Linked DNA regions of Drosophila melanogaster. Each later gene encodes a partner of the first gene's protein in a complex. Each region holds a gene or a part of one and is shown in the gene's direction. Other genes may lie near its edges.

What was found.
Region 2: HBS1 (region 1) and pelo share a complex: the UniProt entries of both Drosophila melanogaster proteins name them as parts of the pelota-HBS1L complex.

What each region holds. Positions count from the first base shown.
Region 1 is NT_037436.4:1,862,149-1,866,881, reverse strand, and holds HBS1 (HBS1), read left to right. Parts: upstream 1-1,641; 5' UTR 1,642-1,836; coding exon 1,837-3,849; 3' UTR 3,850-4,001; downstream 4,002-4,733. Other genes in the region: CG12025 (uncharacterized protein), read right to left, coding at 965-1,125. UniProt on the Drosophila melanogaster protein: GTPase component of the Pelota-HBS1L complex, a complex that recognizes stalled ribosomes and triggers the No-Go Decay (NGD) pathway.
Region 2 is NT_033779.5:9,698,681-9,703,822, forward strand, and holds the start of pelo (pelota), read left to right. Parts: upstream 1-2,129; 5' UTR 2,130-2,372; coding exon 2,373-2,413; intron 2,414-2,472; coding exon 2,473-3,194; intron 3,195-3,249; coding exon 3,250-3,442; intron 3,443-3,761; exon of another isoform or gene 3,762-4,401; coding exon of another isoform or gene 4,402-4,501; intron 4,502-4,587; coding exon of another isoform or gene 4,588-4,859; exon of another isoform or gene 4,860-4,925; intron 4,926-5,142. Other genes in the region: hoip (hoi-polloi), read left to right, coding at 1,255-1,257, 1,320-1,700; CG31710 (uncharacterized protein), read right to left, coding at 4,402-4,501, 4,588-4,859. UniProt on the Drosophila melanogaster protein: Component of the Pelota-HBS1L complex, a complex that recognizes stalled ribosomes and triggers the No-Go Decay (NGD) pathway.

The sequences.
Region 1 (4,733 bases):
TAAAATAAACACATAATATTTGAATACACTAAATAGCATTTTTCAAGAGGCTTTTAAGATTATTTTTCGATTGCCTACAGAAGATTACTTGGCTTCTTCTAAAACAGGTTTTGTGGTTTATCGCGGTTTGGTGATGATTTCGTTAGATTTGGTCATAAGATAGCTAAGATAGCAGTCTACAAATTTGATTTGAGCGGTATTTGAGGCTTAAGCGCCCACTCGGCATTTCCACTTTGTTGAATGTGGACTTTAAGACCCTTATCAACCATTTGCGGGGTTATCGCGGGGTTGGATTGCCGCCAAAGGCGAGGCGCAATCAAATTCGCGTTTACCACTCGTTTATATTGGCAAGAGAAGCCCGACAAGTGCGAACTGCGATGAGCTGCTGGCTGGTTTCGGCTTGCTGGGCTGGCCAACTGGTTCCAGCTGACCGCAGGCGAAGGCCACCCCCCCCCCTCCTCCTCCTCCTCCTCCTCCTTCTCCTGCTCTTGATCCGCGCGAGAAACAGCAGAGACCCTTATGACGAAATTTATGCGCAATGATTTTTACAATTGAATGCCAAATTAGGCTGGACGTCTGCATTTATAATCCCCATAATTACACGTCGTTTCTGCAGTTGCGACACGCCATGCATGGCTAATGGGATGGAAGAAGGCATGGTATCCATCACGCACGCGCCGCTCGGCTAACTTATTCAGGTGCTTCCGGCGGGAATAAGGAAGTGGCCAGCCCGCAGAACACCAGATGCCCAGCTGGTCGAACGTACAATTGTACGATGTACACATAGTATAAACACAACAATAACCGGAATCACAGTCACAATGGGAATGGGAATGGAGCTCCTTGTTTGGCACACAGCGGCGGCCGCGGTGGCGACGAAAATGGTGCCAGTAATCGCTGCCCACGCAGGCAGATAGATCAAAGAAGACCTGTTTTCACCAGAGAACGAGCCTAGCCCACTCACTTGGGGTCCTGAATCCGGATGGAGACGTCTTCGGTGGAGCGACCTTGCTTGCCTCTCATGGGCGTGGATATCACGGTGGAGCCATAGACGCGTATCGCCTCGTCGGTCTCCTCCTCGAAGGCGTCGTGAATGGAGAAGCCCCTGGCCCCGTTGTTGTACATATTTTCTGGCTTGGATTCTCTGCGTTTTTCTTTCCCTGTTTCCGTTGCCCGTTGTTTAATAATAAACGAGTGCGCTGGAGATTCGGATTCGGGCTGCCAACGTTGGCTGCCAGCACGGCGGAAATCGGGGGAGATGCGGCTCCGACTTAGTGCTGCCCCGCCTGCATTTTCGGGCACTCCGTATTCGCAATGTTTTGCACTGATTTCTGCGCCCGTAACCGTGGAAAAAGTGTTTTTCTTTTCACATTAAAACGCGACACAAAGCAAAAAAATATTCAGACTCGCAGCAATGTGACCGTTCCTCGGGGGTGGTTAAATACTGTGTGGGGGTGGCTGCCAGCCTGCTTGGTATATTTAAGCACACATCATTGTTCACACAAGGCCGCATCAATTATGCTTAAACGGTTTCACACTTGCACCAATGTTGTTCCTTCTTTCGACCTTATAACATATTTGAAAAATGTGCAGATTTTAAAAATAACAAATTATTAGATTCTTATGTCAATTGATTGATACATGAAGCAAATCAGAACAGTCGCCTCTCCGCTAGTGGCAATACCTTCTAACCGTACTATTGTACTAAAAACTCCTGGTCAAAGTGCCGCAAAATACCAAACCTCTAAAAAGGCAGCCACACCTGCACGCACCTTTATTATTTTTGATGAAATTCTGACCCTGCTCCGTAAATTGTGAAATACAGAGTCCTCCAAAATGTCGCGGCACAGGATAGTGCGCACCATGGACTACAATGATGAGTACGACGGCTACGACGACATCTACGGGCACTCCGTGGAGGACGAGCACTGCATCTCGCCCACGGATGCCCAGCAATGGCTCTACGATCGGGCTCGTGGCCAGCAGAGCATCTCGGCGTTCATCAGCAAGAACAAGGACATCCAAGAGGAGGAGGCCGACGAGGATGAGGACGAGGACGCCGCCTTCGCCAAGGCTCGCCGCGACTCCGAGAGCTTCCAAATGCCGCAACTGGACGAGATCGAGCAGGCCAAGCTGAGCTCCTGCGTGGACGAGGTGCGCAGCGTGGTGGGCGATGCCGTCTCCGAGCGCCGCATCGTGGAGACATCCATGAAATTCGACTATGACATGCAGAAGATCCTGGACGAGATCCTCAACGAAGAGACCAACAAGTCTGCCAAGCCGGCTGTGAATAAGATGAAAGCGCCCGCTGCTCCAGTGCTGCCAAAGACGGTCAGCAAAACGGTGCCTACGCCACCACCCAAGATCAGCCTTAAAGAGCCGCGACGTGGCTTCGAAATACCCTCGCCCAAGGTGCCCTCATCGCCTGTGGTCTCGGGCAGAAACACACCCGTTGACATTAGCGCCGGCGACGACATCTCCCGTAGCTCAGCAACCGTTTTCAAGGTCTCCAAGGAACAGGCCGTGCGCAATGCCCGCCAGCTGTACGAGAAGGAGCGAGCCGACCAGAAGAGCCACATTCACATGATTGTCATTGGTCACGTCGACGCCGGGAAGAGTACGCTGATGGGCCATCTACTGTACGACACCGGCAACGTTTCGCAGCGAGTGATGCACAAGCACGAGCAGGAGTCCAAGAAGCTGGGCAAGCAGAGCTTCATGTATGCCTGGGTGCTGGACGAGACGGGCGAGGAGCGGGCCCGCGGCATCACCATGGACGTGGGCCAGTCGCGTATCGAAACCAAGACCAAGATCGTCACACTGCTGGATGCTCCGGGGCACAAGGACTTCATTCCGAACATGATCTCCGGTGCCACACAGGCGGATGTTGCCCTTCTGGTGGTGGATGCTACAAGGGGAGAGTTTGAATCCGGCTTTGAGCTCGGCGGACAGACTAGAGAGCACGCCATTCTAGTGCGATCCCTGGGGGTTAACCAGCTAGGCGTGGTCATCAACAAGCTGGACACCGTTGGCTGGTCCCAGGACCGATTCACAGAGATTGTGACCAAGCTAAAGTCCTTCCTCAAACTGGCGGGCTTCAAGGATTCCGATGTGAGTTTTACGCCCTGTTCCGGACTAACCGGCGAGAACCTCACCAAGAAAGCCCAGGAACCCGCCCTGACCAACTGGTACAGTGGACGCCACCTCCTCGATGTCATTGAGAACTTCAAGATCCCCGAAAGAGCCATCGACAGACCGCTGCGAATGTCCGTGTCGGACATTTACAAGGGCACTGGCTCCGGATTCTGCATCTCGGGACGAGTGGAAACCGGAGTGCTGTGCCTGAACGACAAGGTGCTGGTGGGTGCCAGCCGGGAGCAGGCCCAAGTGAAATCCCTTACCATGAACGAATTCCCACAGACTTGCGTGTTCGCCGGCGATCAGGTCTCCGTCACCCTGCCCGCCTTGGACATCAACAACGTCACCGTGGGCTGCATCATCAGCGATCCACAAACCCCTATTCCGGTGACAACGCGATTCCAGGCCCGCATAATCGTGTTCAACGTCAAGGTGCCCATTACCATGGGCTTCCCCGTGCTGCTGCACCACCAATCCCTAATAGAGCCCGCCGTGGTCTGCAAGCTGACCGCATCGATTCACAAGAGCACCGGCGAGGTGGTCAAGAAGAAGCCGCGTTGCCTGGGCAACAACTCGTGTGCCCTAGTGGAACTGGAAACCAGCAGACCCATCTGCATCGAGCGGTATGCGGACTTCAAGGAGCTGGGACGCGTGATGCTTCGCGTGGCGGGAGTCACCATTGCCGCCGGAATGGTCACCAAGATCCGCTAGGTCGATGACCGCGCTGGATTTTGTACGAAATTTTAGTTAGATATTAACTTTTGTTGATTTCCTAAATATACATAGTTTATATGAATTGATTAAATCGAAAAGACGCTGAAGCATTGGAAGAGATTTCGGTCTGACCATTTTAGCGGTATCTTAAAGTGGAGTGTGTTTTTCATGGAATTAATCACTTTAAGAAATTATTATATTTATTATCATTGAATTAATCATAAGGAATATAATTACAATTTATACATAAATTGCAATATCACGTTTTTGGAATATTATGACCCCTACAATAATATTCCAAAAACGTGATATTGCAATTTTTGTATAAATTGTAATTATTTTCCTTATGATAAATTCTATGATTCAAAACTGTATCTCGAAAATGTGAATATGCGGCTGACTAAAATTCTGAATGCGAATCATATTGCTGATTCATGAAACAATCAAGCATTAGAATTTTTTCTTAAACTATCGGCAACACAGCTTATATATTATTTGCAAATTATGCTTAAAAAATAAAATAGGAATACCATAAAATATCACTTACTGTAGAAAACAATTTCAATATGAAATCGTATTAACAAAATTAAAATTAAAAAAAAATATATAGGGAAAATAACAATTTAAATATTTCCAAAATTTGATGTGCTAATATAAATTTAAAAGAATCAAATATATTTCGAATATAAATTTTATAGTTTATTTTTAAAATTTACAGCAATGCTTTAAAAGTGTCATCGCTAAGCCATTGCGATAGTCGTGCGTAGCCCTCGGCCTGCGAGTGCCGATAGTGCCATCGATGCTTTGGCAGCCCTAGTCTTTGAGTGTTCGCTGTTCGCTGAGGGCGAAAAAGTAAAGAAATTACAAGGCAAACTAGTGTT
Region 2 (5,142 bases), on another chromosome or scaffold:
TATTAAATACTTTTTTGGCACCGTTTTGCTTTGGCTTCTGTTTTTTCATTTCCTTTGCTTTTGCTTCTTTGCGTTCACTGGTGTGCGTGTGTGTATGTGTGCGAGTTGATGTGCATATGTATGCGCTTCTGGTTTTACTTCTGCGATCTCTCTTCAGCGCTCTCTTCGCAGGCACTTTTCCACATTTCGCACACTTTAAATTAGTTAAATTGGCCTTTATTGCTCGGTGTGCTAAATTTTCGCCATTCGATTTGGGCATAAAAAAATCCCGTGGTTTAAACAAACACTATCGTACACGCATACACACTCAGCGCTCACCTAACACACACACACCAACATACACATACACAGATTGAATAATCGATTTTTTACATTCATTTCCTTTTTCTGAGTTTGTTTGACTTTGCTTTTCCATTTTCGCTGCGCGAAATTACCTTTTTGAAATTTACGACTACGATGCCAGCGATTTGTAAACACTTTCAGAAATATTGCCTCGACTTTCCGATCGATTTGATGCACTGTAGCTGTGGATTGATGGCTTAGATTAAAAATACCCGCATAGCCGCCGAACCGAGTTTTCCCGACCAAATCGTTCAAAGTTTTTTTTTCGACTGACGCGACTCGCGGATGCGCCCCAGCACGCAGGTGTGAGTAGGCCAGCGATAGGCAGCTCGCTCAGCGTGAACCGTGCGGCGCAATCATGAGTAATCCCTACTGCGCGGGTTCTATTCCGTCTGAAAATCTAAATGATCGGAAATAGCTAGCGGTTATCCAAAATTTTAATAAATAATTATAATAATATATAATTCGTAAGCTGTAAGGATTATTTTATTGTTATGTTTAAAGAGTTCTAAGCTGCATGAAAGATATAATTTTTAATAAAAATAGAGCACTTGTTTAATGAAACGTTGTATTATGAAGTAAGTTTAGATTCGATTTTACGAAATATTTTTAAATGGATTTCCTTTTTTATTTTATGAAATTCTATTTGGGAATTCCCTTAAATTATCAAAAGTATATTTAAGCTAGGGCTGCAGAGAACACAATTTCCGTTACGATTAGTATTGCCTAGATGGCAGTATGACCAGTCTTATTTGGTATTTCCGAACCACCTGCGAACGGTTTTCTAACGCTAACGCACGTGTTTGAAAGCGATTTCAATTGTTCTGCAATTGCCCTCAGTGAAGCAGCAAGCGGAGAGGTTGCATTTTAAAGCACTTTTTTCCAGTAAAAGTATACAATAAACAAGCCAATATGGTGAGTGCATCCACGTTAGCATCGAGAGATGTAAATTTCAACAAGTATCCCAATCTTTGCAGACTGAGGAAGTTAATCCCAAGGCATTCCCGCTGGCCGATGCCCAGCTTACCGCCAAGATCATGAACTTGCTGCAGCAAGCATTGAACTACAATCAACTGCGCAAGGGAGCCAACGAGGCCACCAAGACCCTCAATCGCGGACTGGCCGATATTGTGGTGCTGGCCGGTGATGCGGAGCCCATCGAGATTCTGCTCCATTTGCCGCTCCTGTGCGAGGACAAGAACGTGCCCTACGTCTTCGTTCGTTCCAAGCAGGCCTTGGGGCGTGCGTGCGGAGTTTCCCGGCCAATAGTCGCCTGCTCTGTGACCACCAACGAGGGCAGCCAGCTCAAGTCGCAGATCACCTCCATTCAGCAGGAGATCGAGCGACTGCTAGTCTAGTAACCCTTTAGATTTAAGTGAACATTCGTACAAAGTGGTAATTTCAAATTGAAATTTTGAATAAACATGTGTATTCTTTAATGCAATTGTTGTTTCCAACGCACATGGTTGGCTTGGAGTGCCCAATTTTTGGACACCGGATACCAATGCCGAAAAATACCAGAAAATACTAAACCAAAGGGGTCAGCTGGTATAGCCGGCAAAGTGCTGGCAAATAAATAAGCTAGTTTAATATAAGCTTATTTCATATAAATTATTGAACCAGACCAAAATGTACATGTGCATGTAGAATATTTATTTATAACTATAAGTTATTTATTCATAGAAATAGAAAAAAATCTGAATGGTAGCTTATGCAAACTACTTTAAGAAAGCCAATCCTGGCGGCAAAATAGCCAGTCGCACATCACCGTTCGCCCCTGGTGAATGTCACTTGGCCGCCGATTCTACTGACCACCACCATTGCCACACCATCCTGCCGATTCGATCAGCGGTGTGAACTTAGCAACTGCGTGAACCCAATGACAACGATGCACCGCCGCCTTTGTGAACGGAGGGAATTACTGGAATCTGGGTGCAAGTGACAAGCGGCTAGAGGAATCAAAGCACTCGGTATAAAGGCAGTGCCTGCCGACGAAACAAATACCAAATCCTGACCAGCAACGAGACGGGATGAAGCTGCTGGGCAAATACGTGGACAAGGGCATGCAGGGGTGAGTGAATATCCCCAGAGTCTTAAACTATTTTCGTTATGCCTCGAAAATTCTTTTAGAAATGTGACCCTGGTGCCGGAGGAGTCCGAGGATATGTGGCACGCCTACAATTTGATTGCGAAAGGCGACAGCGTGCGCAGCACCACTATTCGCAAGGTGCAGAATGAAACGGCTACTGGCTCCTCCACCAGCAGCCGGGTGCGCACCACACTAACCATCGCAGTGGAGAGCATAGATTTTGATACGCAGGCTTGTGTGCTCCGCCTTAAAGGCAGAAACATCGAGGAGAACCAGTATGTCAAGATGGGCGCCTATCACACCCTCGACCTGGAGCTGAATCGCAAGTTCGAGCTGCGTAAGCCGGAATGGGACACAATTGCCTTAGAGCGCATCGAAATGGCCTGCGATCCCACACAGTCTGCGGATGTAGCCGCCGTTGTGATGCAGGAGGGATTAGCACACGTCTGCCTGATCACCGCCAGTATGACCCTGGTGCGGAGCAAGATTGAGGTCTCCATACCGCGCAAGCGCAAGGGCAGTGTCCAGCAACACGAGAAGGGACTGGCCAAGTTCTACGAGCAGGTTATGCAGAGCATCCTGCGGCACGTCAACTTCGATGTGGTCAAGTGTGTGTTGATTGCGTCGCCGGGATTCGTGCGCGATCAGTTCTATGACTACATGTTCCAGCAGGCGGTCAAAATGGATTACAAGCTGCTGCTGGACAACAAGAGCAAGTTTATGCTGGTGCACGCATCCTCGGGATTTAAGCACTCCTTAAGAGGTGAGCCATTTACCCTTATGAAGAGATATGTTCTAAGTCAAATTCTTGCCTTCAGAAATTCTACAGGATCCCGCCGTGCTGGCCAAGATGTCTGACACCAAGGCAGCTGGCGAGGTCAAGGCCCTGGAACAATTCTACATGATGCTGCAATGTGAGCCCGCCAAGGCCTTCTATGGAAAGAAACATGTCCTCCAAGCCGCCGAGTCGCAGGCCATCGAAACGCTGCTGATCTCGGACAACCTCTTTAGGTGAGTTACACTTGGTTGAGCCAACGTATATATCTATGTATATTGAAGTAATTACTAGCTGGGCACACATTAAGCCCAATCAAGCGGGAGATCAAGAGCACGATCGCGAGTATAACTAGAAACCTTCAACTTGGCAAAATTGTGTGAGAGTGCTATGGCAATTGGTGTGCTTGTGTCGCCATATGGAACGCATGTCACCAGACTGCTTTGGGTGCCGGAAAGAATACAAATATTGGGGTAATTCAGAAAATCTGAAGAAGAGCAATCAATTTAATTACTGTATCGATTGTGCTTTAATTGATTTGCTATGCCTGCGACTGTGGTTTTCAATTTATTTATGTTTGTGTATAGAATTTATGTGTAGAATTTAGCTGAGAACGCGTTTGTTATTCTTTATTAAGAGAGAGTTTTTAACTTATTATACTACAACCTAATATATCGCAGTGATTTCACTCGTATGGCTTAGCACAGTATCTCCACAAGTGATAAGGTCTAGATTTGCTAGATCTGCCACTATGGACTTCCATAACCATTAGAAGATCGCAGATTCTTCCGCTGCGAATAGAGATCTGCTGCGATCGCACGCGTTTAGCCATTTAAAGAAAGCACGTTCGAGCATTAATTTGTTGGCCCCATAGCGACGTGCTCATGATCAAGGTTGCCCCAATGTCTCCTCACCATTTTTGGCTGCCAGCCTGTTTAGTTCTGTTCTGTTCTATTCACTACTCTTCTCCGCAATTTGTTTACACTTTAATGGGCCGATGAAATTCCATTCGAATATGTTTTTGTATGCTAACTGCGTGGCTGGCAATTAAATGAAAATTAAGTGCTATAGCTTTTTCTTTACTTAACATTTAATGTACTTAATGATCTAGGCAAAAGGTGTTTTATTTTAGCACTTTTAGTCAGTCCGCTTAGGTTGCTTCCCCCATAAGTATTCTTCCTCCTTCTTTTTAATCTCAGAAATTGTTTAAATCGCAGCTCGCCGCTATCGTTGTCGTCGTCGTCGTCGTCGTTGTTGCTCCGGACTGGGCTTTATCTCGACATTTTTGATTGCTGCTGATAGTTTGGCCATTGTGCAAATAGAAACAAGATGGGGAAATGTTGTTATGAAATGCTTTGTTTAAGTTTTCCATTTGCCTTACCGCCTTCGCTGCTGTTCATTGCACTGATTCTTTCTCAATTTCTGCTGGTATACGGGATCCTCTTCGAAATCTTCTCTGCTCCTCATCGTCAAGCGCTTGAAACAATCGTCCAACGTTTCCCTCAGTGGCAGCAGGCGATGTGGTGATGGCGGAGAACTGGGCATCTTTGTGTAGTCCAGCTTCTTGAGGGACTCGCACGCGGTCGAATCCGACCACTGATGGATGGGATGGCCCAGCTCGGAGATGGTGTAGTCGGGTTGTCTGGTGAGCATCTTGGATCCGCCTGATTTGACTCGATTTAATTCGACGGTGTTAAGTGGCCTGCACTTAAATAGGAACTGGAGTGGAAAGATATGTGCGTTAAGTAGTACAGTCAAGTGGAGTTGAGGTTCGGACAGATAATTCAACGATTCGAGTTTCTTTGCTTTCGTTTTATGATCATCAAATCGATAAATATATAAAAATCGACATATATTTGACTGGAATGTGATCAAGTTCCTCAAAATGTACTACACATATTTCGAATTAAAGTCACGTAAATGTATTTATTTTGAA